Linked DNA regions of Astyanax mexicanus. The protein of the gene in region 3 interacts with the protein of the main gene of each other region in a biochemical or structural test. Links are inferred from orthologs where the notes say so. Each region holds a gene or a part of one and is shown on either strand. Other genes may lie near its edges.

Evidence for each region.
Region 1: the proteins of hsp90aa1.2 (region 3) and sgta form a complex in vitro, tested with the Homo sapiens proteins (2 studies listed by BioGRID, with this or other methods). The link is inferred for Astyanax mexicanus from reciprocal best matches to the Homo sapiens genes HSP90AA1 and SGTA.
Region 2: the proteins of hsp90aa1.2 (region 3) and tert form a complex in vitro, tested with the Homo sapiens proteins (2 studies listed by BioGRID). The link is inferred for Astyanax mexicanus from reciprocal best matches to the Homo sapiens genes HSP90AA1 and TERT.
Region 4: the proteins of hsp90aa1.2 (region 3) and hif1ab form a complex in vitro, tested with the Homo sapiens proteins (4 studies listed by BioGRID and IntAct, with this or other methods). The link is inferred for Astyanax mexicanus from reciprocal best matches to the Homo sapiens genes HSP90AA1 and HIF1A.

Annotation. Positions count from the first base shown.
Region 1 is NC_064423.1:18,691,555-18,699,444, forward strand, and holds the start of sgta (small glutamine-rich tetratricopeptide repeat-containing protein alpha), read right to left. Parts: upstream 3,013-7,890; 5' UTR 2,913-3,012; intron 2,865-2,912; exon of another isoform or gene 2,846-2,864; intron 607-2,845; 5' UTR 564-606; coding exon 464-563; intron 361-463; coding exon 257-360; intron 155-256; coding exon 64-154; intron 1-63. Other genes in the region: thop1 (thimet oligopeptidase), read left to right, coding at 4,382-4,394, 5,842-6,048, 6,745-6,893, 7,399-7,506, 7,636-7,738. UniProt on the Homo sapiens protein: Co-chaperone that binds misfolded and hydrophobic patches-containing client proteins in the cytosol. Mediates their targeting to the endoplasmic reticulum but also regulates their sorting to the proteasome when targeting fails.
Region 2 is NW_026040049.1:365,250-373,100, reverse strand, and holds the start of tert (telomerase reverse transcriptase), read left to right. Parts: upstream 1-4,848; 5' UTR 4,849-5,256; coding exon 5,257-5,466; intron 5,467-6,538; coding exon 6,539-7,851. Other genes in the region: nucleoporin NUP42, read left to right, coding at 416-492, 1,421-1,507, 1,636-1,750, 2,998-3,536. UniProt on the Homo sapiens protein: Telomerase is a ribonucleoprotein enzyme essential for the replication of chromosome termini in most eukaryotes. Active in progenitor and cancer cells. Inactive, or very low activity, in normal somatic cells.
Region 3 is NC_064408.1:74,162,817-74,170,116, forward strand, and holds the start of hsp90aa1.2 (heat shock protein 90, alpha (cytosolic), class A member 1, tandem duplicate 2), read left to right. Parts: upstream 1-4,287; 5' UTR 4,288-4,450; intron 4,451-7,300. Other genes in the region: hsp90aa1.1 (heat shock protein 90, alpha (cytosolic), class A member 1, tandem duplicate 1), read left to right, coding at 435-587, 720-1,086, 1,176-1,309, 1,422-1,721, 1,825-1,990, 2,138-2,328, 2,423-2,570, 2,666-2,934 and 2 more. UniProt on the Homo sapiens protein: Molecular chaperone that promotes the maturation, structural maintenance and proper regulation of specific target proteins involved for instance in cell cycle control and signal transduction.
Region 4 is NC_064408.1:70,074,953-70,082,897, forward strand, and holds the start of hif1ab (hypoxia inducible factor 1 subunit alpha b), read left to right. Parts: upstream 1-4,932; 5' UTR 4,933-5,305; coding exon 5,306-5,337; intron 5,338-7,945.

The DNA.
Region 1 (7,890 bases), on a different chromosome or scaffold from region 3:
AAGGGACTAATTTAATCCAGTATTTTTTGTGAATATCAAAACAAACACACATTATATACATACCATCACTCTTAAGTCTTTCTGCCTCTGCTATCTGATCCTCTGTTAGGGGATTACTGGTAGAGTTGACTTTAACTTCAGGTGTGTTTTTTACCTGTCATAGATACACACAGTCTTTATTTACAATTCTCAAATCATAAATAATACCAATACTCTGTATCTGAACAGCAATATTAAAGAGAATATAGACTGCTACCTTTGGAGTGGCTTTTGCAAATAATTCTGGCAAAGTTTCAGTAACTTCTAAACTCTGGTCCTCCACTGAGACACTGAATGCTGTCTCCAGACACTGGATGGCAACTGGAAAGCAGTTTTAGTGATCAATCATATCAGTGTTTTAATTCAAAACCATAAACAAATATAAGCTTAGTAACCATTCATTCAGAACTGCATCAGTATTTACCTTCTAAACTTTCTTGAGCATCTGACGACAATTCCCCAGACCTGAGCTGGTCATGGAGAAACTGGATAATGGAGAAAGCGAGACGTTTTGTGTCTGTCATTTTGGCTGGAGAAAAAGCTCTCTCCAATTACTTCTGAGGAAATCTGAAATATAAGAACATGTGGGCATATGTTTAGCAGAATAACATCATCTCAAAAAGTAAAGTTCAGTAAAATTGAAAGCTTTGACTGTGAACTGCCTAAAGTGACCATACTCAAATTTATAATTACTAAACATGATCTAAGGCACATTCGGAGATCCTCCAGTGGGTTTTGTTCTATTGACAATGCTCTTCTCTGGAAGTGATAAAATCTGTTAACACCCAAGCCAGCAACTGGTGCATCATATCAGCACAAAAATAATATTTATTCCAAAAGAATAAATACAGTGCAAGTTTGGAGTGTGCATAATATATTGTTTAAATTCTTTCATGTTCAGGTCATGTTTCTATTTTGCTGCCTGACATAAAACACCTGCCCAACATAAATGATTTTATTGTCCAATATTTTATAAAGTGTGTTGCATTATTAGTAGGGTATTGGGTAATCTGTATTATTTTTCAATACATTTAGCTTACCTTCATTTTTGTTTATTTTTTTCCACCACTGTAAATTTGTGTGTTGTTTTTGGTGGTATTTTTGTCTTTATGTTTGTTATCTGCGTTAAGTCACAATTTTACACGTCGTGAAAAACGGCTCTAAATTAGCATCACGACAGGTGGGATCACCAATTTCCATACAGTGCAAGATACATCAGAGCTGGAATTTAGTAAGACCTGAAAATAAATTAAATCAAACTGGTCTTGTTTCTTTTTTTGATGAAAAAAAAAAACCCAGCCTAATATGATTTTTACTGCCCAATTTTTTGGACACATTTTCACTACATTTCGTTTTAATTTTTTAAGATGTCTTTATTTATTTTTTTTATTTTTTTTACCACCAGTGGAAATTCCTGTGTTTTAAATTATTAAAACAAGCAAACAATATAAGATTAATTAAGAAGAAATAATTTCAGAATAAAAGGATAAAATGTAAAGGCAATAAAAAATATAAGAATAATAAAAGACAAACACATTTAAAGAAATAGAGGAGTAAAATAACACCCAAATTATAAGGTAAATGACAGAACTAAAATAAATAATAAGTTTATAAAAAAAAGTATAAAAAATAAAAGGACAAAATAAACTAAATAAAATGGTAAAAGGTCACAAGTAAAACCAGTAATAAAACAAACAAAAGGATTAAATGAATCAAATAAATAAAAAGGCTAAAAAAATGATAAATAAAGACAAAATTAAATAAATTAAAAGGCAAAAAAAAAACTCAACTAAAAGCAGTTACAGGCTGACTGAAGGTGGCTAGAGACTACTAGTTTAAAATTATTTAGTGACTCAGTTTAGAATTTCAGGTAGTACATTCCAGCTCTCGGGTGCTGCACTGTAGCTAAAAGCAGATTTCCCAGTTCAGTAAAAACTCTAGGAACCGGACAGGTAATAATGCCTTTGGTGAGAGAAATTTGGCAAATTGTCATGGGTAAATAAGGTCTGCAGTAAGATTCACATCATAAGTTTAGGTTTTCAATAATTTAGGAACTGGTTGACCCCTTAACATAAATCATTACATAATTCTGGTGATTTATACTATATTTTTTCCAATCTCCTAATAATGACACATTTCAGTTAACATTACTTTAATTACAATGACTAATTACACTGAGGTCACTGTACTGCTAGGAGTACCATCCATGCAAGCACGAGATCATCAAGATGATTGCTTGTGTCTTAACTAACGTTAGCTAACCTCGCACATATACATAGTTACCTAACTATCTAACTAAGTAACAGTATCTGTCCAAGTAGGTTAACACACTTGCCTAACGCAGCCGAATCGTTCAGTTCTTTAATACAGCAGATTGTTCTGCTGCTGTCTCTAGTGAAATGACTTCATATGAACATATGACCCGGAATCTTCTAGCAACAGCTGGCTAGGTTAGCTAGTCTGATGATGTGTCCTCAACAGCTAACTAGCTATCAATTTAACCCCCTCAGCTGCTCACAGCGCTAAAATCATTACACTCTAACAGTGTAAACAGGAATACATGTGTTTATTATATCAGCAACTACCGGCTACACGCTGTCTAACCGTGCGTAACGCAGCTAGCTAAGCTAACTAAGCTAACCCGCAAGGGCTACCTCGATATCCAGCTCACTAACATTGTTTGCTAGCTAGCATTAGCATTAGCTCGTTTCGTTCAGAGTAAAGGCAGCTCAACTCTCAATAACAGCAAACAGCTTTTAAAATCTGCCCCGCTCATAAACCAGGTAAAGAGGTAAAGACGGCCTACATTGTGTCACTCAGCTACACTCCCGAGAATCACACCCAGACCTTTTCTCAAATCTTTTTATACTTACTGACTGTCCCACTGCAGGGATTTTCCTCGCTGCGCTCTCAGTCTGGCGTACGCTGCGTAATACGTAAACTCACCCCTCCGTGCGTAAAACCAGCGTAAAACGTACTGACGTAGCTATAATGTCGCTAAACATATGATAAAAATAAAATACTATCATCATTAAAACAATAGACGTGAACACGTATTCATGTCTATGATTAAAACATCCTCCCCAGTATGGGCTGCATTAAAATGGGAATTCATTTTATGAACAAATGTATTGGGAACATAACTAATTACTAAGGTAAAGAAATAATATATGCACTCATAAATATATATAATCTACACTAACCCCTTGTTTCATTATACCTATTTTATCTGTACCGTTTACTTTCTTTATAATCGTATTGTTATTTTTAATTACTTACATATTTTAGTCTTCTTTTTATTTTTGCTCATTCTTTTTATTTCTCTCTTTTTTTCCTCTTTACATTTTAGCCTGTCAACTTATCTTTTTGTTCTGAATAATTTAGATTATTCTTACTTAAATCATTATTGTTTGTTTTTATAATGCCTTTGCCATTTAATGTTTATTGTTTTTATAATTAAAATGTTAGAAGTTCACTAAAAAATTATGGTTGCCATCAATGTATTCTTGAGTGAAAATAAAGGTTAAAGGTTGTATAAATTATTTACAGCTAATTTTAATATAATCAGAACTATTCATGCCTCATTCAAATAAATAATTTCCCACTAATTGTAAGTAATCATAAATTAGTAATTTATTATTTATTTATTGTATAATATTGTCACAAAAACTTCATAATTAGTTAGATAATTTATTTATGCATTTAGAAGATAATATCTTTAATGTCCATGACACTGTAAAACAACCATAGCTAAATTGATCAAATAATTAATTAATTAATTAATTAATTAATTAATTATTAGTTATATGAGACATTTTTACTAAAATAGACAATTCTTAGTTAATTTAAGATATGTGTTTTGTGAAATAAGTGTTAGTTAGTGTGTTATATCAATATTCTTTACTAAACTCAGTTATTTTTTACAGATTATTTTATTCTGCAAGAAACTAATTCTAAACAAACGAGCATTAGCTAATTTATTAATTTATGAAGCAATATTTCAAAGAAAGTTTAAATGCTGTATTAAACATGATTCTGTTTTTGTGTTAATTCTTATAAATACATGCAAAATAGTCTGTAAATATTTCACATAATTCCAATTCAAACTCTCTTTTCCCACATTAAATGTATGTATTTCGTTTAAAAGTCATTCTTATCATTCTTAAATTTTTTTGTGTACTATCACTGAGCAGAAGAGGATTGGGCGGGGTTTTGTTGATTGACAACTCTCAGACCCAATCAATGAGTGCGAAATGGGCGGGAGGATACCACCTCACAGGGAAGAGCTATCACGGGCGGGCGGTGGAGCAGCGAGCATTGATTCAGAGAAACGCGTGGAAAAATGGCACCTACAGGTAATCTAGGTTATATTAGAAAAGTCAGGTAGATGTTTGACTATCACTTTTTAGTTACTTTCCTCTCTTTAGTTCAGTACTTTCTGCTAATAGTTAACTGAATGATGAACAGGGGTCTGAATGCAGCTCTACGATTCAGTAGGTTAGAGCAGCGCTGGGTATATGGGGTGTAAAGTACTGAGCTGGATTAACAGTGAACATAAACTGTAATGTTTAATTTAGAAACACCGCCATTACTCTGTTTTTACGAGCACGGTGGCGGCTACTCACTGCTGTAGTGTTCACACATACAGCCGTTTGCCGGTTATGAAAACAATAGCTAGCTAGCTGCGCAGGTTCTTGTGTTGTAATGCCGTTATGTTAGCTTGCCGGCTAGCTACAGTTAGCCTTCTGTGTATATGCACTTGTACTGAGCCGGACAGCTAGCTGTGTAGCTAACCGTAGTTAGCCTGCTGGTTTGATAGGTTAGCTAAGCGCCGTCACTTTAGCTTCCATTAATACCAGGAACACGTGTAGGTTAATATTATTTCCCCTATGGTTCAGTGACATGCAGGTTTGCGCTGGTGTTTATTGTGTTTTTTAAGCTGTATGTAAACTACCTTTTTTAGGGTTAGCTTTATATCGAACTGATTACAAATTCAGGGCGTCATTCTAAACGGAGCATTAACGTTACTAGACAAGCTGACAGACATATGTTAGCTAAGCTAGCTGAACAAACTCAGCTCTCAGCAATGCTTGAGAATTTTCCATATAACCATAAGATAAGATAAACAGCTAAGTTATACAGATAAAATATTCTGGCTTTGTTAGACATTTTAGTAACTTACTTTGCTTTTTAGCCCTTGCTGTTCTGCAAACAATCTGGACAATATATTAACATTTTCTCACATATCAACGATATCATTGGTACTCAAAGAACTCCGCATCAACTGTACAATGGTTTATCGTTTAGCCCAAAACTAAGAAATATACAGTGATATATTTTTTGCCATATCGTCCAGCCCTATTCTGTGACAAAACGACGAAAAAAAAATATATACATATATATTAATTGATAAATTAAACGATTCTGTCATTTTAACTACAGAGATCCAAAAAGATTACAACAAGTAAAGTTGGGCAAATATGTTGTACAAGTATGTTGTACTAATAGATATGTCTTGGAAGTAATAATACATGATAGGGCTGGGTGATGTACCAAAAATTGTATCAAAATATATTTATTCTTTTAGGTTGCTATACTAATAAATAAACTATAGTTATTGTGTAATGTATGAGGGATCTGCAGTTTAGTATGTTTTTTGTGGGTGTGGGGTTCTTTCTTTTCTTTTGGTTTGGTACAATACGATATGGGTATTATATCCCAAAACATACATTTGAAACCTAATGCCTTAAAAGCTCATCTCTTCTGATATTTGAAACACATGAGAGAAACTTTCTGCTTCAGGTGAAGTAGTGTTTGGCGGTGGAGATGGAGTTTGTGCTGACAATCGTTTGCGCTGGGACCTCACTCCAGAGCAGATCCATCAGCTTACGGATGAGCTTATTGCAAAGACCAAGCAAGTCTATGACTCTGTAGGATCCTTGGATCTAGATGCTGTAACCTATGAGAACACTCTGAAAGCCCTTGCTGATGTGGAGGTGGACTACACAGGTAATACTTCATGGTTTGTGATTGTGGTTGGAGCTTCTAATGCATTTAATACTTACTGTAATACTTACTGGTATTTAAAATACCAGAATAGACACATGAATGCAAATGTATTTCTACTTAATCTGGTTAGATCTATATACTGAGGATGAGTCCTCAACTTTTCTGACATCTTCACAAGATTTAAGCACAGATTGTTTCACACAACGAGCCCTAATTTATAACAAAGTGACCAGGTTTCAGTTATCACTATTGTGAAACAAAAAATAAAAAGGCTGAGTCAGCAGGGAAGCCGTATGCAATGGTACACACCGTTCAGCACTTTTTTACATAAAGACTGGCTGACTGACACATGCACAACAATAGTGTTTGCCATTGTTTAGTGTGCAGAGTGGAAGCACTGCAAGGCACCTATCTTGTGTAGGTTTTCTGTTGACAAAAAAAATAAATCAAATAAAATGTTATGGCAAAGTGTTATTACCTTTTTATTCAGTCCTTTTTCCCCTAATACAGAAGTATTGTCATGATGTGTTTTGAATTATGTGTTTTCATTAATGCTTCAGTTAGTGCCACATTAGTCTTTACAATATAATAATGCCCTATAAAAAGTAATATGAGGTATTAAACTGATTTCTTAGCATTAGTCTGAAGCCATTATTTATAACCTGTAACATCGCATCATCTCTGGCTCTTTTCCAGTCCAGCGGAACATGCTGGATTTCCCTCAGCATGTGTCGTCTTCTAAGGACGTGCGCACGGCCAGCACCGATGCAGATAAGAAGCTGTCGGAGTTTGATGTGGAGATGAGCATGAGGGAGGATGTGTACCAAAGGATTGTAGCGCTTCAGGTTAGGTTCCTAAATGTCTGGGGTGTTTTTTTTTTTTTATTAGGTTAAGGATGGAATCAATAAGGAAGACAGTAGGGCTGTGCGATATTAACAAAAAAATTCTTACAGTGCATTACTGGCTGATAAAGGCACGCACAGAACACCTCTCAGCCAATCAGATTGCAGGCTCAGAATTAACTGTAATATAAACCATATTTTGCATTAATCAAATATCAGTTATTAATAAAAAAGTCTTATTTTGTACTAGCCTGCACTTTTAACCATAATAATAATAATTGCTTTTTAAAATGTACATTTTAAAACAATATTTTTAAGGCATTTTTTTATTATTATTTATACATTTTTATTAAGCTTTTATGAAGCTTTTACCTACCAAAATTCCTCTAAGGCTGTGTTCATATTGCAAGCCTCTTTAAACAACTCTATAATGGTCTTCGTGGGATTTGATAGGTTTACGCATGTTGTTTTTCATCCTTCTACATCTGAAATGTTGATCATTTTTTAGGATAAACTGCAGGATGAGTCTATCACCCCAGAGGGTAAGAGATACATGGAAAGACTGATCAAGTTGGGAAAGAGAAATGGGCTTCACCTTCCTAAGGAGACACAAGAGGTCAGACGTTACAAAGACTCTGGGCACAAATCGTTCTTGGAATACTTTTCAGCTGAATTGATTCTTCTAAAATAAACTAACATGAGGAAAGAAATATCTTTTGCTGAATTGGTTTATTTCCTGTAATAGGAGATCAAGAAGATCAAAAAGAAACTGAGTACACTGTGTATTGATTTCAACAAGCATTTGAATGAAGACACCACTAGTCTGTCTTTCACTCGTGAGGAGCTGGGTGAGTACACAGCTTTGGAGTTCTAGTAAGATTGTGCACTGTATATGTAAAAAAACACTAACATTTAATAGAAGTCAACATATGTTGTAATAATGCACTTAATATATCAATTTTTCAATTAGAATAAACATTTTGTCAGACTGACAATAATC
Region 2 (7,851 bases), on a different chromosome or scaffold from region 3:
TGAGAAATTGTCATAATATTAATTATATATGAAAAATCCAGCAGAGATGTGTAAAACCGATCATCTAAACAAGAGGAGATACTTTGAAGAATGTAAAATATAAAATATATACTGGTTTATTAATCACATTTTTGTTTATTAAATAATTTCATATGTTTTTCGTCATAGTTTGGATGATTTTAGTTTTAATCTATAGTACAGAACATTTTAAAACTGTGAACTTGGTACTGTATATACATTACAGCTGCATGCTGATCTTCAGCATATCAGTATATTGTGACACTAATTTAAAACCAAAATACAGCTAATAAAAAAAATACAAAATATCCTGATACTTTGATATAACAATATATATATATATATATATTTGTGTGTATATGTTTGTGTGTGTGTGTGTGTGTGTGTGTGTGTGTAGGGTTTGTGGAGCTCTCTCCCGAGGAGTTGAGGATGGAGTACTACACCAGCAGAGCTTCTGGAGATCTACAGTCTTACGTAAGTACAGACTGGGTAGTTCGGTCTGAGCTGGGGTTCAGGTGGAGCTGTGGTTTTGGGTGAAGCTGTAGTTTGGGTGGAGCTGTAGTTTGGGTGAAGCTGTAGTTTGGGTGGAGCTGTAGTTTGGTCTGAGCTGAGGTTCAGGTGAAGCTGTGGTTCGAGTGGAGCTGTGGTTTTGGGTGAAGCTGTAGTTTGGGTGGAGCAGTGGTTCAGAAGAGCTGTAGTTCAGAGACAGCACTAGTTTGTGTGGAGCAGTGGTTCGGGTGGAGCTGTAAATTCAGAAGGAGTTGTAGTTGAGGCGAAGCTAAAGTTCAGGTGGAACTGTAGTTTGGATGGAGCTGTGGTTTGGGTGGAGCTGTGGTTTGGGTGGAGCAGTAGTTCAGAAAGCACTATTTCGGGTGGAGCTGTAGTTTGAGTGGAGCTGTGGTTTGGGTGAAGCTGTCGTTTGGGTGGAGCTGTGGTTTGGGTGGAGCTGTGGTTTGGGTGGAGCTGTGGTTTGGGTGGAGCTGTGGTTTGGGTGGAGCAGTAGTTCAGAAAGCACTATTTCGGGTGGAGCTGTAGTTTGAGTGGAGCTGTGGTTTGGGTGGAGCTGTGGTTCGGGTGGAGCTGTGGTTTGGGTGAAGCTGTAGTTTGAGTGGAGCTGTGGTTCGGGTGGAGCTGTGGTTCGGGTGGAGCTGTGGTTCGGGTGGAGCTGTGGTTCGGGTGGAGCTGTAGTTCAGAAAGCACTATTTCGGGTGGAGCTGTAGTTTGAGTGGAGCTGTGGTTTGGGTGGAGCTGTAGTTTGAGTGGAGCTGTGGTTCGGGTGAAGCTGTCGTTTGGGTGGAGCTGTGGTTTGGGTGGAGCTGTGGTTCGGGTGGAGCTGTGGTTCGGGTGGAGCTGTAGTTCAGTAGTGTAGATGTGATGATCTGACGTGTGCTGTGTGTTCCAGGCGAACTCCGTACAGCAGCTGGCCAATCAGTGGAGGTCCAGAGTGCAGGAGCTAAGGACCATGAGCTCCTCCACCCGCACCACCATGGTGAGGAACCCTGCAGAACCAAATACAATCTTTTCTACAAGTTACACTCTATACATCCACCCATCAAACATCTCCTGGTTTCTACACCCATTATTAGTGGTGGTGTCTGATCTGTGTTTGTTCTGCAGATATCAGAGCTGAACAATCCGGGATCTTCGGGTGGAGGCTTCTCCTCTCCATCGTCAGGGTTCGGTTCATCTTCATCATCATTGTCATCATCAGCACCTGGATTCGGATCAGGTGGTGAGTCCACAGATGAATTTCCCTTAGTAATGCTACTATAATCTTACATTTACTTCAGTATTGCTACTATAATCATTAAATTGCCTTAGTAATGCAACTATATTATACACTGACCTCAGAATTGCTACTATAATCATATATTTACCCCAGAAATGCTATTATAATCATACATTTACCTCAGAAATGCTATTATAATTATAGATTTACCTCAGTAATGGTATTATAATCATATGTTTACTTCAGTAATGCTACTGTCATTATACATTAACCTCAGCCGTTCTATTCTGATTATACATTTACCTCAGTAGAACTATTATATTCATAGATTTACCTTAGCAATTCCATTATTATCATACATTTACCTCAGTAATTCTACTATAATCATATATTTACCTCAGTAATACAACTGAACGCATACATTTACCTCTGTAAAGCTACTATAACCCTATATTTACCTCAGTAATGCTACTATAATTATATATTTACCTCAGTAATGCCACTACAATCATACATTTACCTCAGTAATGCTACTATAATCATATATTTACCTCAGTAATACAACTGAACGCATACATTTACCTCTGTAAAGCTACTATAACCCTATATTTACCTCAGTAATGCTACTATAATTATATATTTACCTCAGTAATGCCACTACAATCATACATTTACCTCAGTAATGCTACAATAATCATACATTTACCTGAGAAATGCCACTATAATTGTACATTTACCTCAGAAATGCTACTATAATTATACGCTTACCTCAGTAATGCTACTATAACCACATATTTACCTCAGTAATGCTACTATAACCAGACATTTACCTCATTAATGCTACTATAATCATGAATTTATCTCAGTAATGCTACTATAACCAGACATTTACCTCATTAATGCTACTATAATCATAAATTTATCTCAGTAATGCTACTATAATCCTACATTTACCTCAGAAATGCCACTATAATTATACATTTACCTCAGAAATGCTACTATGATCATACAATTACTTCAGTAATTTTACTACAAACGTACAGGTACCTAATGGTACTGTAATTTTACATTTACAAATGCTACCATAATACATTTACTTCAATAATGCTATTCTAATCATAAATGCTACCATAATACCATACTACCATACCATACTACCATATGCTACCATAATACATTTACTTCAATAATGCTATTCTAATCATAAATGTACCTCACTAGTGCTAAGCTTTAATATATATTTTTTTCAGGTTTTGGATCCAGCGCCCCTCAAAACGGTGCAAGTGGATTTAGCTTTGCTCCAGCCAGCCCCGGGTTTACAATGCCCAATTCCGAGTCCAGTTCCACCGGGTTTGGATCGACAGGTTCCCAGCCCAGTTCCACCGGGTTTGGTGGGTTTGGTTCGCCTGCTCCTTCCTCCACTCCTACAGCTTCTTCCTTCTCCTTCGCTTCTCCGGTGGCGAGCAAGAGTTCTTCTGGAGGTTTCGGATCCGCCTCCGGGTTCAGCTTCACCTCCTCTACAGCTCCAGCAGGGGGCGGCTTCGGCTCCTCCGCTCCAGCAGGGGGCGGCTTCGGATCCGCCGCTCCAGCAGGGGGCGGCAGTCTGTTTAGCTCGGCCGGTGCCGGCGGGTTCGGTGGGGGTCCAGCGGCTGGTGCAGCTTCTGGAGAAAACCTGTTCACCCCTCAGAGTGAACTCACCCCGGATGAGCTGAGGGAGTTCAGCGCTAAGCGATTCACACTGGGTCAGATTCCCCTCAGACCGCCGCCCGCGGAGCTGCTAACGGTCTAAACGCCAGACTCACAATTTTACAATAAAACACACTTAAACTGATTACCCTGTTTACTACATACATATTCATCAGCCCAGACTTTAGCTTTACAGTACAGCTAACGAGGCTAATGTGGCTAACAAACAACTTAATCATTAGACTGTGGAATTAATAAACACTGCTAACATAATTTATTCCATGTTTTAGATAACCTACAGCCTAAAATATAACGCAGTGTACGAATATTTAAACATGCTAATTAGTGGGGTATAAGCTTCCATTACTTTTTGGCTATGTTAGCCTCACCGCTCCAGTGCTAACTTACTCTTTAGAAGATTCCAGGACTTGTTAGCTACGTTAGCTTTGATCAGAACTTGGCTGATCGATTACTCTTTGATTAATGAGGAGCACACTGAGAGTATTAGGTTTCTGTAATTTAACAGATTGTTATTTCATAGTAATGTAAAGTTTATTTTATTTGTATCATTTGTATCTGGCATTTTGTGGGCGGGGCTAATGTACAGCTGTATCATAATAAAGTTGTTTTTTTTAATAAACAAGTCCTTAGTTTTTGATTTGTGTTAATAATGAGTGACCAATGAATCATGAGGTAGGTAGGTGTTTCCTATAAAGTGTCCATTCTGAATAGATTACACAACCTTTCAAATGAAAATATTAATATAAAATTCTGCTGGATACCAGGACATAGTGGCTTCACTGGAAATGAAAAAGCAGACCAGGTAGCAAGAAGAACATCAAAGGCCGAAACAGCGAACTGCAAACTCCCACCAACAGATATAATGCCCCTAATTCACAAATACATCAAAGAGAAGTGGCAAGACGAATGGAACACCCAAACAAACAGCAAACTGTACGAGCTCAACCCCAAAATAGATCATTTTACCAACGCGTATATAGACAATAGATGGGATCAAGTTATTTACTCAAGATGCCGCATTGGCCACACCAGACTGACGCACTACTTTTTACTGAAGGGCGAAAGACCCCCACATTGTGATGTGTGCCAACGAACTATTACTGTAAAACATATATTAACCGAATGCCCAAAATACTTACCTACAAAACAAAAAATCTGCCTGTCAGATACACTAATGGACATTTTCAACAAAGACAATGCAAACAAAGTACTGAACTTTTTAACTATTACCAAACTGAGAGTCCACATCTAAGGACGAGATCATAGAACCTTGTGAATAAACAATACCTATCCTGCCACGAAATAGCTGATGAGCTGATGTGGCGTTAAACTCAACCAACCAACCAACCAACCTACCAACCAACCTATAAAGTGTCCAGTAAGTCAAAACAGTAGGTTTAGTGTTATATATGGATGTTATATGTAATAAAGTGGCCAGAAAGACAAGGTCGGTAGGCAGGTGTTTCCGATAATTTGGCCAAAATACAGGATAAGTATGTGTTTCTGATAAAGGGGCCAGAAGGACAAGGTAAGCATATCTGATAAACTGGCTAGAAAGACCGTATAGGTAGTTGTTTCCGATAAAGTGGCCAGAGGCGCAAAGTAGGTAGTTGTTTCCGATAAAGTGGCCACAGTGCCTCTGTGCCTTTAAGGGATCTCGAGCTCTTGTCCAATCACGTTGTGTGTTGATTGTGATCCGGGTACTGAGCGCTGGGTTGATGCGGAGCTGTGGTTGGTGAGGTGAGCGCGCGGCGGTATATGAAGTGAGGAGTGATCTGGGAGTGATCTGCACGCGGGCTGAGATGAGCGGGGTGCAGGGCGCGTGCACGCTGCTGCAGGGAGTGTACGGGTCGGTGAGGACGCTGCAGCAGTTCGCGGACAGCGTGCAGTACCCGGATGGCCGCGGGGCGGCGCTGCTGCGGGACACGGACCCCGCGCGCCTCGCCGGTCTCATGCGGGGACTCGTGGTGTGCACGGACTCGCGCCTCCCGCGCGCCGCCAGCCGCGCACAGGTAAATTCACTGTGTTTACTGATACCTGAATCGCCCAGGCTCACACGTGGCTGGGTTTACCCTCTCTCTGAGTCTTCAGTGACGTATGCGGAAGTTTATATGTTGCCTGGCAACGTGTGGGCCATGTGGTTGAAGTTAAGCTCCTCCTGCTGCTGGTTTCCCTGGTAACAGAAAACATGCAATAAGTTTTTAGCTTTAGTGCTTCTTTAATGCTGATGATGGAGAAACAACCATTATTTAACCTCATCTTACGGACATCGCTTAGTGTGTAAACTCTAATACTACATAAAATATACTGAATTGTTTAATAAAGAAAAGTGTTAAACAACCCAGAATATGTTTTATATTTTAGATTCTTTAAAGTATCTCCTCTTGTTTAGATGATCAGTTTTGAACATCTCTGCTGGATTTTCTCAGTCAGTTTTATGAGGTAGAGTCTCCTGGAATTCATGCTTTCAGTTAACAGCTGTGCTGAACTCATCAAGAGTTAATTACTTGAATTTCTTGTCTCTTAATGTAAAGTTTGAGAGCATCAGTTAAAGTAAAGTAGTGAAGAGGTAGAGTTACAGGTATACAGTGAATAGTGAATATTTGAGTAATGTTCGAATCCAGATTATGAGAAGCAACAACTACTCAACTAAATAAAGAAAAAAAAATACTGTACGATAAAATGAAGGTCAGTCAATCTAAAAAGAAGAATTTTGAGAGTATCCTCAAATGTAGTTAAAGGAAAGACCATCAAAAACATTTTATTGATGGAACTGGTACTCATCAGGACCACTTCAGTAAAGGAAGAGTGAGAGTTTCCTCTGTTGTACAGGATAAGTTAATCAGAGTTTCCAGCCTCAGAAACCACAAGTTAACAAACAGCTCCTCAGATAAGAGTATCTAAATACTTCATCATGCTTCGTAGATCACTTCAATATTCATTTACTATGTAGGAAAAAATATAAAAAATATTAAATGAGAAGACGTGTCCAAACTTTTGACTGGTACTGTACATGCTCTATAAAGACGATATAAAATGTTTGTAAAAAGTTGTTAAATTCCATCTCACTTCCTGTTCTCCCAGTTGGCCACGCTGCCCGAGGTGTTGGCATTTGTGCTGAACCACATGAAGAGGAAGAAGAGGAGGAATGTCCTGAACTTCGGTTATCACTACAGCGACCGCCAGGGGAACTGGGACCCCTTCAAGTTCCACGGCTCCCTTTCCCAGAGTGCGGCCTTTATCAGCGGCAGTGAGCTTTGGGCCAAGATAAACCAGCGACTGGGTACCGAAGTCACCAAGTTCCTGCTGCAGGAGTGTGCTGTCTTCGTTACAGCACCCCCTTCCTGCCTGGTGCAGCTCTGTGGCGTGCCTCTGTATGACATGGTACCTGTACGTAGCTGGTGTGGGTTTTTTCTCACATCTGGTCCACCTGTCACCTGGAAAAGGAGTGACCAGGGAAGAGATCTGAAGAACAGAACTACTGTGAGCAGAAGCAAGAGAAAGAATGAAAAAGAACGGATTGAAACAGATGGTTCTACCAGTGGAACCAAGGTTAGGACTCGCAAAACAAGGAAAATTAGGCATCATGCTAGAAAAACAGACTTACCCACTGAAGAGAACCAGCCTAAAGCATGTAGTACAAGAGTGAACACTGACATAGAAAACTCCAACACTGAAAACACCAAAAAGAGAAAGAAAGAAGAAGAAAATGATGATAATGAAGTAGAAGAAGGAGAACAAGCGAAGGACGAACGTAGTCAGGCCAAAAGGAAATGTGTAGACAATGAAGAACAGAGTAACGTCTGTCTTTTAGATCCCATAGAGACAGCTAAGACAGAATCTCAGAAACCAGAAAAGGTGGAGCCAGCCTCGACAGGCCACGCCTCCATGCAGGGTGTGTCCAGCTGGAAGCCAAGTGACCAACCGCCTTCGTGCCCCTCCCACTGCTTCATCCGGGTACTGAGCATGCTCTATTGTGGCCGTGGCATGAAGGGTTTTCTGCTTAACAGGAAGGTCCGGGGTGGAGTGGGCGGGCCTAAACACCTGCAAGGGGCGGAGCTTGTAAGGATTATTTTCCTCCAGGGAAACACCTACTTGTCTGGAGCAGAACCAAAGCCCCAGAAGCTTCCAAGACGCTTCTTCAGCATGGTGCCCATCTTCAGCCAGTTAATAAAGAAACACAGAAAATGCCCCTATGCTCACTTTCTGCGTAAGAAGTGCTCAGGTGGCAAGGGCAAGGAGGACATGTTGTCGCTGCTGGTCTCCCACTGCTCCGCCTACAGGGTGTACCTGTTCGTCAGGGAGGTCCTACGCTACGTCATTCCAGACCAGCTCTGGGGCTCTGAGCACAACCTCCTGACCTTCCTGTCCCAGGTGAAGCACTTCCTGCGGATGGG
Region 3 (7,300 bases):
ATTATATGAAGAACATATGACACTCCTCCCCCAATCAAAGGCCTGACAGGTGCTGTAAGAGCAGCTGGTGCCAAATGTGTAGAGGAGTGTGAGCAGCTGGCATTTTCTGTACTAGCCCTGCTTTTCAAAAATTTGCATTCTTGTAGCTAAATGAGAAAAAATATTATTTGCATTATCAAAAAATATAAAATTTTAAATTAATAATAAAAAAAAATCTTGAATGCAACAATTAATCTTTAGTCACTTTTCAAGCAGTAATAACCTTAAACACTTATTACATTGAATTTGCATAGCAATTAAAATGTAGGAAAAAGTAGGAAGGTATTTGTAACATAACATACAAATAATATGTAATTACGCCTTTATGCACTCTTAGCATAAAAGGTCTACTACTACTACTACTATTATTAATAACTACATTATGCTTCTTTCAGATGCCAGAGAAAGCTGCCCAGCCTGTGATGGAGGAGGATGTGGAGACTTTTGCCTTTCAGGCTGAAATTGCTCAGTTGATGTCCCTGATCATCAACACCTTTTATTCCAACAAAGAAATCTTCCTCAGAGAGCTCATCTCAAACTCCTCAGATGTAAGTTCTTCCTCCTTATTTGGACAACGACGCTCCAAGATTTAAGCTACTGTTCTGATAGAAATTACACTTTTTGCTCTTTTTAATGTTTAATGTATTTTTCTATGTTTCACCCTTCGTTCCACTTCACAGGCCCTGGACAAGATCAGATATGAGAGCTTGACAGACCCAAGTAAACTTGAGTCCTGCAAAGACCTGAAGATTGAGCTCATTCCTGACCTGAAGAACCGCACACTGACCATCATTGACACTGGAATTGGCATGACCAAGGCCGATCTCATCAACAACCTGGGCACCATTGCCAAGTCTGGAACCAAGGCCTTCATGGAGGCTCTGCAGGCTGGAGCTGACATCTCCATGATTGGCCAATTCGGTGTGGGTTTCTACTCAGCCTACCTGGTAGCAGAGAGAGTCACAGTCATCACCAAACACAATGATGATGAGCAGTATGTCTGGGAGTCTGCAGCTGGGGGATCCTTTACAGTTAAGCCAGACAATGGTAGGATATCAAAACAAACATTTGACAAACACACACACATAAAAGGCTTAAAAATTGTACAGTATTACATTTGTGTTTTGGATTTGCAGGTGAGTCTATCGGTCGTGGCACAAAGGTGATTCTTCATCTAAAGGAAGATCAGTCTGAATATACAGAGGAGAAGCGCATCAAGGAAGTTGTGAAGAAGCACTCACAGTTTATCGGCTATCCCATCACTCTCTTTGTAAGTGCTACTAATATATTTGACAGGATTTTTTCTGTAATTCAGTAAATGTTTTGCACAACATTAATGTGGTGTCATTCTTTATAAACATTTTTTAACCATCATTGCATAGGTGGAGAAACAGAGAGAAAAAGAGGTTGATCTGGAAGAGGGAGAGAAGGAGGAGGAGGTACCAGCTGCTGAAGACAAAGACAAGCCCAAGATTGAGGATGTGGGATCCGATGAGGATGAGGACAGCAAGGGTAACAAAAACAAGAGGAAGAAGAAGGTCAAGGAAAAGTACATTGATGCCCAAGAGCTGAACAAGACCAAGCCTATCTGGACCCGTAACCCTGATGACATCACCAATGAAGAATACGGCGAGTTCTACAAAAGCCTTACAAATGATTGGGAGGATCACCTTGCAGTCAAGGTGAGTTGGTTTAAGTATTAAAAATAAATCTAAAATATGTTTTCCTCTATTGTTAGATTTTTTTTTTCTCAAATACTCACACATATTTTACTCCATCATACAGCACTTCTCAGTGGAGGGCCAGCTGGAGTTCCGTGCTTTGCTGTTTGTGCCAAGAAGGGCAGCTTTTGATCTTTTTGAGAACAAGAAGAAGAGAAACAACATTAAACTCTATGTGCGCAGAGTCTTCATTATGGACAACTGTGAGGAGCTAATGCCTGAATATCTCAGTAAGTGTCACAATTTTCCTGAAACCGATATCCAACATGAAAATATATATATGAATTTTACTTCTGATTGACACCACGAAAAGCATTGTACTGTAAATGTGACATTTAATGCCTGCTAATTAAATTACCATCCTCTTATGTTATTAGATTTTATGAAGGGTGTGGTAGACTCTGAGGATCTGCCCCTAAACATCTCCAGAGAGATGCTGCAACAGAGCAAGATCCTCAAAGTCATCCGAAAGAACCTGGTCAAGAAGTGCCTTGAGCTCTTCACTGAAATCTCAGAGGACAAGGACAACTACAAGAAGTTATATGAGCAGTTTTCCAAGAACATCAAGGTATATTTGCATTAATCATAATCATAAGAATTGGTAAAATAACATGAATAAAAAATAGAAACATAAACATCTCACATTTCCTTTTCTTTTCCAGCTTGGTATCCATGAAGATTCTCAGAACCGCAAGAAGCTCTCAGAGCTGTTGCGCTACTACACCTCCAACTCTGGTGATGAGATGGTGTCTCTCAAGGACTACGTGTCCCGCATGAAAGACAGCCAGAAGCACATCTACTATATTACTGGTTAGTTATTTGGCATTCATTATTAAATAGCACAAAAACCCATTATTGGTCTTAAATATCACTTAACTAAAACATATGTTCCCCCTTTCCTCCAGGTGAGACAAAGGATCAGGTGGCCAACTCTGCCTTTGTGGAACGTCTACGCAAAGCCGGCCTAGAGGTGATCTACATGATCGAGCCCATTGATGAGTACTGTGTTCAGCAGCTTAAAGAATATGATGGCAAAAACCTGTTGTCAGTTACCAAAGAAGGTCTGGAGCTTCCTGAAGATGAAGAAGAAAAGAAAAAGCAAGATGAACTGAAAACCAAGTTTGAAAACCTTTGCAAGATTATGAAAGACATTCTGGATAAGAAAATTGAAAAGGTAAACACAAAAAATACTTAAATCTCTAACAAACATAATGCACACAGTGCCCTCAACCTGAGATTAAAACTGTTGTATAATAACCAATCTTTCATCTCCATTAAGGTTACTGTGTCCAACCGCCTGGTCGCCTCTCCTTGCTGCATCGTTACCAGCACATATGGCTGGACAGCCAACATGGAAAGGATAATGAAGTCGCAGGCTCTGAGGGACAACTCCACCATGGGCTACATGACTGCCAAGAAACATCTAGAGATTAACCCCCTGCACCCCATCGTTGAGACCCTGAGAGAGAAAGCTGAGGCTGACAAAAATGACAAAGCGGTGAAAGACCTTGTTATTCTGCTCTTCGAGACTGCCCTACTTTCTTCTGGATTCACCCTGGAGGACCCACAGACACATGCTAACCGCATCTACAGAATGATTAAACTTGGTCTTGGTGAGTTGCAAGCCAAAAACATGTGTATGCTTACTTTAGATATGGGGTGTCAGACCTTACCTAAAGAAGGCTGTTGTGGCTGCAGGTTTTCTTTCTAAAAACCTGCAGTCATAACAGCCCTATGCAGCTAATGCTTCTATAAAAATCCATCTCAAGACCAGCTGGTCATCCAGTAAAACATACCCTTTGCTGACAGGATAGGATAGCTCGTTAACCAGCTCTTGATCAGTATAGGATGACCAGCTGGTCTTGAGCTGGATTTTTTAAAGCAGGGATATCAGATGTCACACCCATGCTTCAGAGGCAGTGGCACACAAATGACATGGAAAAAGCTACATTTCTAATACTTTCATCCTTATTTTTCTTTAATAGGCATTGATGATGATGATTCGGCGGTTGAGGACATTCTTCAGCCCACTGAGGAGGACATGCCTGTCCTGGAGGGAGACGATGACACATCAAGAATGGAAGAAGTTGACTAAGATTTTGAAGTAGAAATAGCACAGAACAAATCTAAATGTAAATCTGTTTAATTTAAACACTGTTTAATTTTGAAACACATTGCCTAGCTAGATAGTCTATTTATTCTTTAACCTTTCGATTAGTTTTGTTTTGGAAGATATGTTGTGCCTTGTCGGAGTTTGTGATTAGAAAATATATCATTTTTAATTTTGTTTTTTTTATGGTGTAACTTTTTTAAGGAAGCAAAGCAACTTTCTAATAAAATATTGTGCAGAAATTAAATGAGTTGTGGTGATTTTTTTTGTTGTTGTTCATTTAATATTTTTTAGAACAATTTTTAAAGAACATTTAGCTACATAGGACCAGTCCCTCTTTCTCAGTGCCTTGATAGACAGAGCTTAGTCCCGCCCCGCTCCTGCAACAGAGCGCGCGCAGGGAAGATTCTCGAGTGTTCTGGATCAGCGGGCTTCTGGAACAGTCCGAGCCCAGCGCTTTATAAGCCCGGCTCTCACAGCTCTGACAGTGTTACAGCGCTCAGAGCCGCGGAGAGGACCACACGTACCCAACACACACACAGCAGCATTCCAGCACGACCCTGTGTCAGGATCTGTCGAGGTAAGACGGGTCGAGGCATGGATTATCAGTCAGATAAATAAAACAAGGAGGAGCTAAATTTATAACTGTAGCCTACATATATTTAAATCCGGAGACACAGTTAACATAACTAACTAACTAGGTATGTTTGGTTTGAATAATCTGGGTTAGCTAACCTAACGTTGTGCATGATGGCAGCTGTAGCTCTGTGTACTAATACTGTTAATAATAATGAATTAACTCTAGTGTTAAACTTCTTCAGTTAGTTCAGAATGGAAATGTTCCTGCAGGTTAGCGTTAGCTCGCCGGTGTTCTGTCGAGTTGTGCTACCCATCGATACGTGCTTCCTAAAGGCACTGCGCATGCGCTGACGTACATTTTTGTGATTATTAACGTTACTCGTATTTTTTGTTAATAATAAATCTGTATTTTGAGTGTTTTTGTGCAATAAACAACCTAGATAATAATAATAGTAATAAAAATAATAATAATAATAATAAATACAAAATTATGATTTAATTAAATTATTTAAAAAAAAATACAAAAGCAGTTTGTAATGCGCTCTCATTGCCATAACTTTACCATGATAGAGTGATTTACGCTGTCCAACTATATTAACTCTGCATCTACTGGGACTTCTACAGGAACCATGCTGTAATATAGAGCTTCTTTTGTATTTTTACAGTTAAATATATCCTAAGATAGCACAGTTTGACAAGGTAGCACAATTCGACAGAACACCCCCCGGTTGGACAGATGGCAGGCTAACTTAAGCTAAGTGAATATCGCCTCCTAGGCATCACCGGCATTAGGCTGATCATACAGATAGAGAGAGAGAGATGAAGGCTAATTGACCATGGCCATTGCAAAGTTTGGCTTCAGCTATTTTACCCTAAGCTAGTGTAGATTAGTATGATTTTCACATCGATACAACCTGCATCCTACAAGAACACTGTGCCCTACAACATCTAACCTACTTAACCTCGTTAAATCGTCACAATAAAAGCCATTTAAATTGAATAGACTTCATCATAAAGTGTATGTAATCTAGCTAACATAGGTTATATAACTCTAGCTAACTTGTTACAGTAAGAAAACAGACATTAATGCACCTTTGCTGGAAATACTCAATGTTATCTTAGGTTAAATAATAAAACTGTGCTGTTGACTATACTGCAAGATTACACAGCTAGGAGTCTGTCTATCTTATCTAGTCTGATTAATGCACTCTGTCAGGACCTGATGTGGCCGCCATGCTCACAGTTATAGGATAGCAGTGTTTGAGAGCCACAGCTCTCCATGGATTGTTATGCATGTGCTGCTGCGCCGCGAGGCTGGTAAGTTCTAGAAGCGTGCTGTACATCGCTCTGACCAGCAGGTGGCGCCTTTCTGCCATCGGATCACTAAGCCATGTGGCCATAGACCTGTCCTGAGAAATGATCGATAAGGAGACAGGGTGTAGTGATTAATAATAGTGTGAATAGCTAGTTTACACACGGCGCTGGCCTTGCTGCATTCATCAGTGTAGTGAGAGTAGTATGAATAATATAGCTAGTGAGTATGGGCGGGTGGGGTTTATACACGCAGCATTGCACGTGAGCTTTTAATCCTTTTTTTAGTGATTATGTCATTTCTATATAACTAATACAATGGCTTGATAAGACTGTAAACAGCATTAAAAGCACACAATTGAAAATGTGGTTCTACAAGAGTTCTTTAGTCAAAGCAGTATTAGTAATTTATAAGTGATGTCAATCAGTTAAAAAAAATGTACTAATTAAAAAATAATAGCTATTAATCATGATTTAACACACTTTTCTTCCTTAAGACTAAGCTGTTCGTAATGGGTATTTAAATGTGTTAAAATAATAAGTATTACAAACACTTAGATTAGTATTATTGGTGCCAATCCCTTAAAAAATAATTATACTAATCACTACAATATTCTGTGACTAAATCATGATAAGTTTCCAGATTAACTGCATGTGTTAACACGGTAATGCAAAAAAAAAGTCATGCAAAAACCTTAGGCTCCCATTATCAAACATGTCTGCATTATAGATTAAGATTAACTGATGTCAAAATGTATATAATTAAAAATCATTGCATTATTTTGCTGTTCTTCAGTACAGGCACTGAAATTGACACCGAAATGGGAAATATAGGTATTTTTACCAGGATTCCTCCAGAAATCAGGAATCCAAACATGACAAGATATTATAGTGTATTTTTTTTAAATATTAAGCAAGTAGTTGCATTATGTGACATCGGGCATCTTGTGGTGTGACGATTGTGCACATAATGCAAATAAAATATTTAAACATGCGTACATTATGTGTAGAAGAATTAGTAGGAATTCTAGGAAATCATATTAATGGTGACACCTGCACAAATACAAGGAAAACCTTTCCTGTGTCTTCACTACAAAAGTCAATGTTTAAAGTTTTCAAAGCACCTGCTATCTAAACAGTCCAATCCAGTGATGAACAAACCTACTGTTGCAAAAAACGATGAAAAGAACACCCTTCCAACTGTTCAGCACAAGCTGTATTGATTATATGCCTATCATGATGATTACATCATCAAATACTTGTATAATGTATGGCCATAACCTTAAGTCATTTTTGCAGACCTCAGTATGTGTTTACTTGGAAAGAAAAGCCTATTTACATGAATGAGCTGTTCAGTCAACTTTATTTCAAACAGTGGTTTATATTATTTATCTTTTATTTAGGATATTAAAACATAAAGCCATTAAAATGCCCATATCTGAAGGTTCTTAGTAGTTAAAGTACGGTGCTTTCTAAAACAATATATAAATGCTTTATTACATTGTTAAACTCTTATGTGTACTTTATTGGTATTAAATGG
Region 4 (7,945 bases), about 4.1 Mb from region 3:
TTTTTTTTTTACAAGCCTCCCAGTGGCTTGTATTTTGTTTTTCTCTCTTTGACCTGACAGCTGAAAAAAGGTGCTTTATTTTTTTAGTTTTGATTGTAGCTTTTTTACTATGTCATATAACAATATTACATTGGTTCTGCTTTTGCATACTTTAGTATCTGTTATAACCATAACTGCATACTGCATTTTGACTTTATGGGTTGCAGTTATGAATGTTATCTTTTTTGCCTGATATGGACACTGACTTAAAATGTCCAGTTATATAACTCACTCACTGTCCCAGTGCCTACCTGGCACATGCTTCACTAATCTTCCCTGAATGGTAGGAGATAAGCTAATGTTTTTTTTAGACATGCAAGACTATTCCTGGACTGCTGTACTCTGTGAAAGGGGTTAAATCTCTGCCTACTTCATTTTTCTTTAGTCATGGCAGTCATTGCTAATTACTGCTAATAAGTTGCCTCACCAACTAAACTTTATTCAATCTGCAGTATGAAACTGTATACCTAAATGGCACAAGTGTGGATTAAAAATATCCTTTCACATATTGTCTCAATTGTATTGTCTCAAATGTTTCTGATGCAGTATTTCACCTTAATTAAAGGCATTTCAGCTTTCTCCCACTAATATGGCTTCTGCATAACCCTGTAAATTAAAGCAAGAAGCCCTAACCAAGACCAGGTGCAGGGGGTCACAATAACAACTTCCAACTGGCCTTGCACCAATCATTAGACACACACTGTACATGAAATGTATTTCATCCACAAGGTCCCCATCATTTACAAGTGTACACTGAGTACAATATACAATAAGAATACTCTAAAAAAATAACTTTTACTGAAAAGCCTTGAGCAAATGCTTTAAACCTTAAGTGGTGCATACGTTTTGGAAATCGGGGATTTAGAGACCTTTCTGGTGAGAATGTGTAATTGTGCAAAAGAGTACTTTTAAAACTTGTTTTAGCATGATCCCCCTTTTTACAGTTGCTTAGCTAACCAGCAATATATGCTGAATCATCTTTCAAAGGCTGTGCATTTGACCTGAGTACATCAACAGCAAGTGACAAGGCCAGACACTGTTGCGAAAAACTCCTGCCTAAACTTTCCAGATCACTCTGTTTTTAAAATGAATATATTAAAGATTATAAAGTTGCAGTGATGGCTGTGCCAGCACACTAATTCAATTTATTAAAATATTTTGTCCCCCTCCCTCACTCTGCTTCTACTAAAATACTACTGCTTCTGCTTTCAATTAAAAAAGAAGAAAAAAGGAATGCCACTTTAGACTGCCAATATCTGTTGCTGGTCCAACATCACTCAAGTACATCACATCAGTTTCCTGGCTCTTCCTCATATCACACATTGGTGCTTATGTGATTCACTTGTTGTTAAAGCTCACCTTCCGCGAAAATCCGATTTTTCTTGTTTTTTGTGGAATACAGTAGGTCTCTCCGAGTTGAATGTGTACACCTGCACATTAAACTGTTTTGCAGCCCCCATTGTCTGCAGGAGCTAAGCAAAGAAATCCCCCCTCCCCCCCCTCCGAAAAACGGGTGAATTTTGAATTATCTTTCTGCCTACGTAGGCAGAAACTCACAGACCAGCCCACCTTGGCTCGAGAAACTCCCAGAGGCGGAGCTGAAGCGACGCAACATCACCGCTCATCAGTTAGGAGGTGGGAGGCAGTGAGCGGCAGAGCGGTGGAGGGGCGTCGCAGTGCTCCTAGCCAATCAGAGGAGAGATATTTGCATGCTGTTTGCATGTATGAGTATTCATGAGCAAAGCTGGAATCCGGTCATTTTGGACACACCCCTAAAACAGTCCATTAAAAAAGAGCTATACAGAGACACCTGAGCACTTTTTTTTTTTTTACAAAAACGGCTCACATGTCATTCATTCATGCTAGAGACCACAACTAGACATTTTAAAATGAAAGAAAAAACGACGGAAGGTGACCTTTAAGGAGCACTCGTTAACAACAAATAGACAGTCTACACAAGCTTCCTTATTTCAGAAAAACTCCAGTCCTGGAGGGCCGGTATCCAGCTAAGTCTGGCAGTTGCCCTACCCAAACACACCTACTTTGCCTGGTAATGAAATGATGATTTGAATCAGGTGTGTTTGGGTTGGGCAACTAAGCCTTGCTGGAGACTGGCCCTCCAACACTGGAGCTGCACCCCCATCCTGTACAACAACCATTGTTTCTTTTTCAAACTGTCAGAAATCCTCTAACACACAGTTGTGGAATCCGGCTCTTATTCGTAGCCAGGACCTTGTGTTTGGCGCTCACAGTCAGTCTACACAGCTGTTTTATGGTAGTTAATATTCTACAGCCTAATGTTTTCCTTGCTATACCCATAAGAAGTGGACTTACTGGCTGACCAACCAACAGGGTACAAAAACTGTAAACACTGCAATTTGCAAAAATATATATGTACACTTCTGTTGCCTTATAATTTGTCTTTACAGTTGGTTTGTGTGGTTAATACTGTAATAGCAATGTTGTAAAACATATTTTGTGAACATTAAAAAGCTAAAATGCCTCTTAATAGTTAAATGAACCTTGGCTGTTAAGCCTCAATATAGTGTATATGTCCAGTAGTACTGTTATGGGAACTAATTAACAATGGTTAAAAAAATTATATTTTACATCAGTACTATATTGTATAAAACAAGTAAAATACTTCATATTTATGGAAAAAACTAAACCTCTATAATAGTAGTACTCTTCTCTTTTTCTCCATCTGTCTGTCTGTCCGTATCTATTTCTTCCTCTGTCTGTCTCCATCTGTTTTCCACAGAGCGAGGAACAGGAAGCAAAATATCTACTTTACCACAACTATATAATTCAGTCTTTCCAGCTTTAGTTAGAGTGTGACATCACCCAAAAGGAAAGCTTTCCAGACAGTCTCACTTTCTGTACTGTATATAACATCATCACAGTGTAACAGTGACAACCTTTCAGTAGAATAATTTTGCTAATTTTTCTAAATCATATTCCAAAAGTATTGGACATGACCTATTTTAGGACATAGACCTTGTAACATTCAAGGCTTCTTTTAACTGAGTGTGAATATTGATTTTGTGTCTGCCATGATGTTTGCCGAAAAACATCTTATTAAGACATGATGGATTACTGACAACAATATATTTATTTAATTGTGGGTTACATGCTCCTACAATATTATTTATTTCCTGTATTTTGTTGATTTTTGTTTATTGAGACATTCATTGCCCGTAATTAAACTTTATTCACAATGAAAACAAAAATGATTTCAAATTCTATACAAAATAATATTATAGGGGTGGATGGATTTGCCCAAACAGGATGCTGTTAAGGGTTCACAAACACTGGAATTGGCTCTGGAAATATTGAAAAAACAAGGTGAATACAGTGAAAGCACTGAAACATTAGGTTAACATTAGTTAAGACATTGGCATACAATGATATATATGTGTAATACAATTAACAATATAATCCTGAGTTAAAATGTAATGTGTTGCAGTCATTGACAGTCATTGTTTGGCATCATTATGTCAACCGTTTTTGTGACCTGTCTTTCCTATAAACTGATTTCCGCATTTGGTTGTGGATCTAAACATAAATATGAGTAATTTTACACTACTCACTAAATGAAAGATACTGATGTAGTGTGGTGTAATGGCCTGACCACAGAGTCAAACCAGGCTCTACCACAATAAAGCTAATGTTGTCACCCACACGACAACACCAACCACTAATATACCCAGCTTATATTTGCATAATGCAGTGTATATATACTATATGTTGAAATTTAGGCTGCACTTAGGCTGCATTTTAGGCTACATTTAGGCAGCACCCACTGCTGACACAGATGTTCAAATGCACACACAGTAGTATGGTAGTTCCTATAGAGAACCACTAAAATAGGATTCTCTTGAGCAGATAAAGATGAACTAATTGGCTTAATATGATGTACATGTCCAGTAGTACTCAATATATTGTATAACTAAAGTAAAATACTTAAGTTTTATGAAACATAGACTTACAAATAGACTTATAAAGACCTCCCCGGACAGTGAAGTCAGTAGAGACAGTGCCAACAAAAGCTTGAACTTATTAATACGTAATATTAATACATAATAATTGATATAATGTATCTAAAATGTATACAGTTTAGAATTGTATTAAATGACTGTAACTATACTGTAACCAGCTAACTAATTATATAAAAGAGAGTGAGATTCCATATAAACCAGTGGTGACATATAAGCAGTCATAATGAGCCAGCTGAATTCAATGAGCTGAATTATCTCCAGTGAAGGAAAAAAAACATTTAAGAATGCTGTTTTCTGTCTGAAATGCACAGAAAAGACTCTAATATTATACTATAACATCTATATAGCAAACAAATCCAATTAACTAAAATATTTAATAGTTTATTTTTATTTCCGCTGCATTAGATGCCTGTGTGTAATATTTTATTTAGTAGTAGTATTTCATATTGACATTTCTCTTTCGTGAACCGTCCCTAAACAGTAAAAAAACATGAATAAAAATTGTACTTTTAAAAATTGCTTAAAAATTCAGTGCAATGGGCGAGGCCAATTTATTGTTTAATTGGTTGATAAACTTGTTCATTTGGGTTGTTCATGGTCAGCTATCAAACTGCGTAATGTGCAACAAAACATTTAAAAATAAAAAAAATACATGATGTCCATTGTAATGAGTGCAAGGTCTGAAAGGGTTAAATACAGGTATTAGATATGTCACCCTGGTTATTAACTGGGTAATATAATGTGGAATTAAGGTCTGTAGGTGTGATATAGGTATCAGTATCTCGTGTGTGTGTGTTTGGAGCTGCAGTGTGGGGGCTTGTTTTTCGATGACGTTTGTGCAGAGCCCGGTTCTGTCTCTGTGCCAGAGGAACATGTGATTGCGCGCTCCCGTAATCATGAACGAGCCCACATAGAGAGTAGTAGTAGCGGAGCCTCAGTGAGCAGCATTAGACTGTAGCACTTAACTCTCTTTGTGCCGGGGAGAACCCCACCGCAGGAATACACACAGATGTTCTGACCTTCAGGACCACGGAGGGGCGACCTCTTGAACTCGGCTGTACAAGAGACATAGCGGAGACGTGTTAGCGGGTGTTTTTGGCCGCGTTTAGCTCGGTTTGTTGGTGTTTTTCGGGGAGGACAGGTGGCCACGTCCTTCATCCTCTCTCTTTCTCGGGTCTGGAACTAGCGTTAGCCGCTAGCCGCTGTTTTGTTGCGCCGGCGCTTCGGGAAAAAAAAAAACCTTACACACTAGGAGGTTTCACCCAGGAATGGATACTGGAGTCGCCACTGAAAAGAAAAGGTACGGCGGACGGATTTTGTATGTGTGTTATTGTGCTGTTCTGACCTGCAGACAGAGGCTGTTCCTCCTTTTCACCTTTCTGCTGCTGCTGTTAGCTGTTAGCTTAGCGGAGGCTAGCAAACAACCGTCCTCCTAGCGGAGTCGCCATTTTGTGCTTGGGGGGCGTCTGAGGCAATTTGCTGACAAGTTTACAAACAAGCGAAAAACGCCAGCACCTCAGCACTCGGACCGTCTGTAGCTGTTGAAATCTCTCCAGCGGGGACATTTTGTGTCGGTTTTATTTTGAATATACGCCGAAAACACGGGCTGCGTCTGTATCTGCGTTGGCAGCACAGACAGCGGTTCAGCTAATGCTAACGCTAACCTAGCTTAGCTTAGTTTAGCTAATAAGAAGTTGCCTTGATTTGTGTTGCGCCGGCTGGAGCTGAGTGTGTGTGTGTGTAAAAGATAAGCGACCGGATGATTTATTTTTTGTGGCTTAAAATTTGTTAACTACAAACTGAAGGTGAATGAGAGAGAGAGAGGGGTCAGCTCTAATATATATATTTATTAGAAATGTTTAATAACGGTTGGAGTAAAGTGCGTCAGCGTGGCATGGACTGACTGCTGGTGCGGAGGAGGAGGATGAGGAGTGAGTGTGTTAAAAAAGCTGCTGTTAAATAGCTTCAGATGACTTAAAACTGCAGAGTTTCTGTGTTTTTGTAAAGAAGGGATTCTCAATTGATGTGATTTGGGATTTTTAACCCTTCGTTACGTTTATTATAGCTTATAGACGTGACCTATTTTCATTCAGACCCTCAGCTGGAAACAGGTTTGCCTTTATAAAACAGTATTTTCATAGTATTAAACCTTTTTATCAGATCAGATTCATCTGACGTATATGTGGTATTTTTTATTTTTAGGTATAACCTGCACACATGTAAAAAAAAAATCAACCTCTACTCCACACTAGCTAATTGTCTCTTTTGTCAGAACATAGTAACAATATACATTACCAAACACAATTTTGGCACCTCTCTTTTCATTTAGTGGATTTTTCTTTTTTTTATGATTTTTTTATAGTGTACATTTAATATTGAAGACTGTTAAAAAAAATACCTAGGCAGAAACACGTGAAATATTTTGGAAATAATCCAGAATATGTATTATGTTTTATATATATTGTAAGTGACCACATTTGTATTTGAGGACAGATCTGCACACTCTTGGTATTTTAATCTCTATTTTTACGAGGTAGGGTCACCTGGAATAGTTTTCTCAGGGTATTGGAGCAGTTCCTAGAGGTGCTGAACAATAGTTGCTGCTTTTCCTTCACTCTGTGAAGCTCCAGCTCATCCCAAATCACCATTTCAGTTAGGTTTAGGTCAGGGGCTTGTGCAGGACAATGTGTGCTACAATGTAGAAAATAAATTGATTGAAGGAATAAAGAAACATTGATTTAGAAGATGTGTCCAAGCTTTTGACTGGTACTGTATATATTAACTTATGTTTTCATTTATTAGGACTTTCACAAAATCAATATTTAGGTCAAATTTAGCTGTTAAAGGATGCTGTTTTGCTCCTCTTTTATCATCTCTTACTCACCACAGATGTTGACGTCAATGGGATTTCCTGCTTACTTCTGTGGCAAGACATTTGCAAGAACTGTGTCAGAAAAGAAAGGATGTGTGAGGCACACTTCACTATTTCATGTCTGTTTGGGTATGCCTTTTTGTGAGGGGTTAAAGGGGATTTAAAATTTACAATGTGGTTGTCACTTTGGGGTTCACATTTGTCTGGTTGAGATGGAGTGGTTGGTGTGGTTTAAATGAAATATCACTATAAAATTGATGAATTTATTATTTGGAATATATCTTATTTTGTTTTTAAGTTGGAATGGTCAGTGAAAGGAGTGAAAAGGAGAAAGTGAAAAGAAAGTCAGTGCTGCCCCATTTCAAGGGTATCTTCCAAAAACTATGAGTATGCATAAATCTTTGAAAGCACACAGGTGTATAATTAATAATTTAAATGGTCAGTGTCCTTGTATGATCCATTCTTTGTTTAAATAACCCATACCTTTTTAAATAATTGTTTTTGTGTACACAGTTGATTGTACTGGTACTATACCAGCATATTACTAGAATTATCATTGATCAAGTATATGTGGTTTTGTATTTGTTTTCAAACGGTGGTGCAGAATCAATCCCATGGTAATCCCTCCCATAATGTCCAGGCACAGGCCAATCTGTCGGTCCTAATTTCTGTTTCAAGGCTCTTCTTAACTACTGCCCTGGTGTTATGCAACACATGCCACACTAAATGTAGCTGGACTGTCTCTGTCCAAAGCAATACAAATTATTGCTGACCTCACGTGAAGGACAGCTTCTTATTCTTAAAAATAGACACAGCGGTTAGTCTGAAAAAATGTTTTTTTTTTCCAAATTGCCAAAAAACATCTGTCTTAGATTTTTGATATGAAAATGTCATGGCTTTTTAGAAATCATGCCATGCATTTTCTTTTACAAAAAACGTGGGTATTTGTATTTTATGTACTACACAATATAATAAAAACAGATGCTGTTATTGAAACTAATTTAACACATTTTAGATGTCAGGTTTTTTTTGGTGA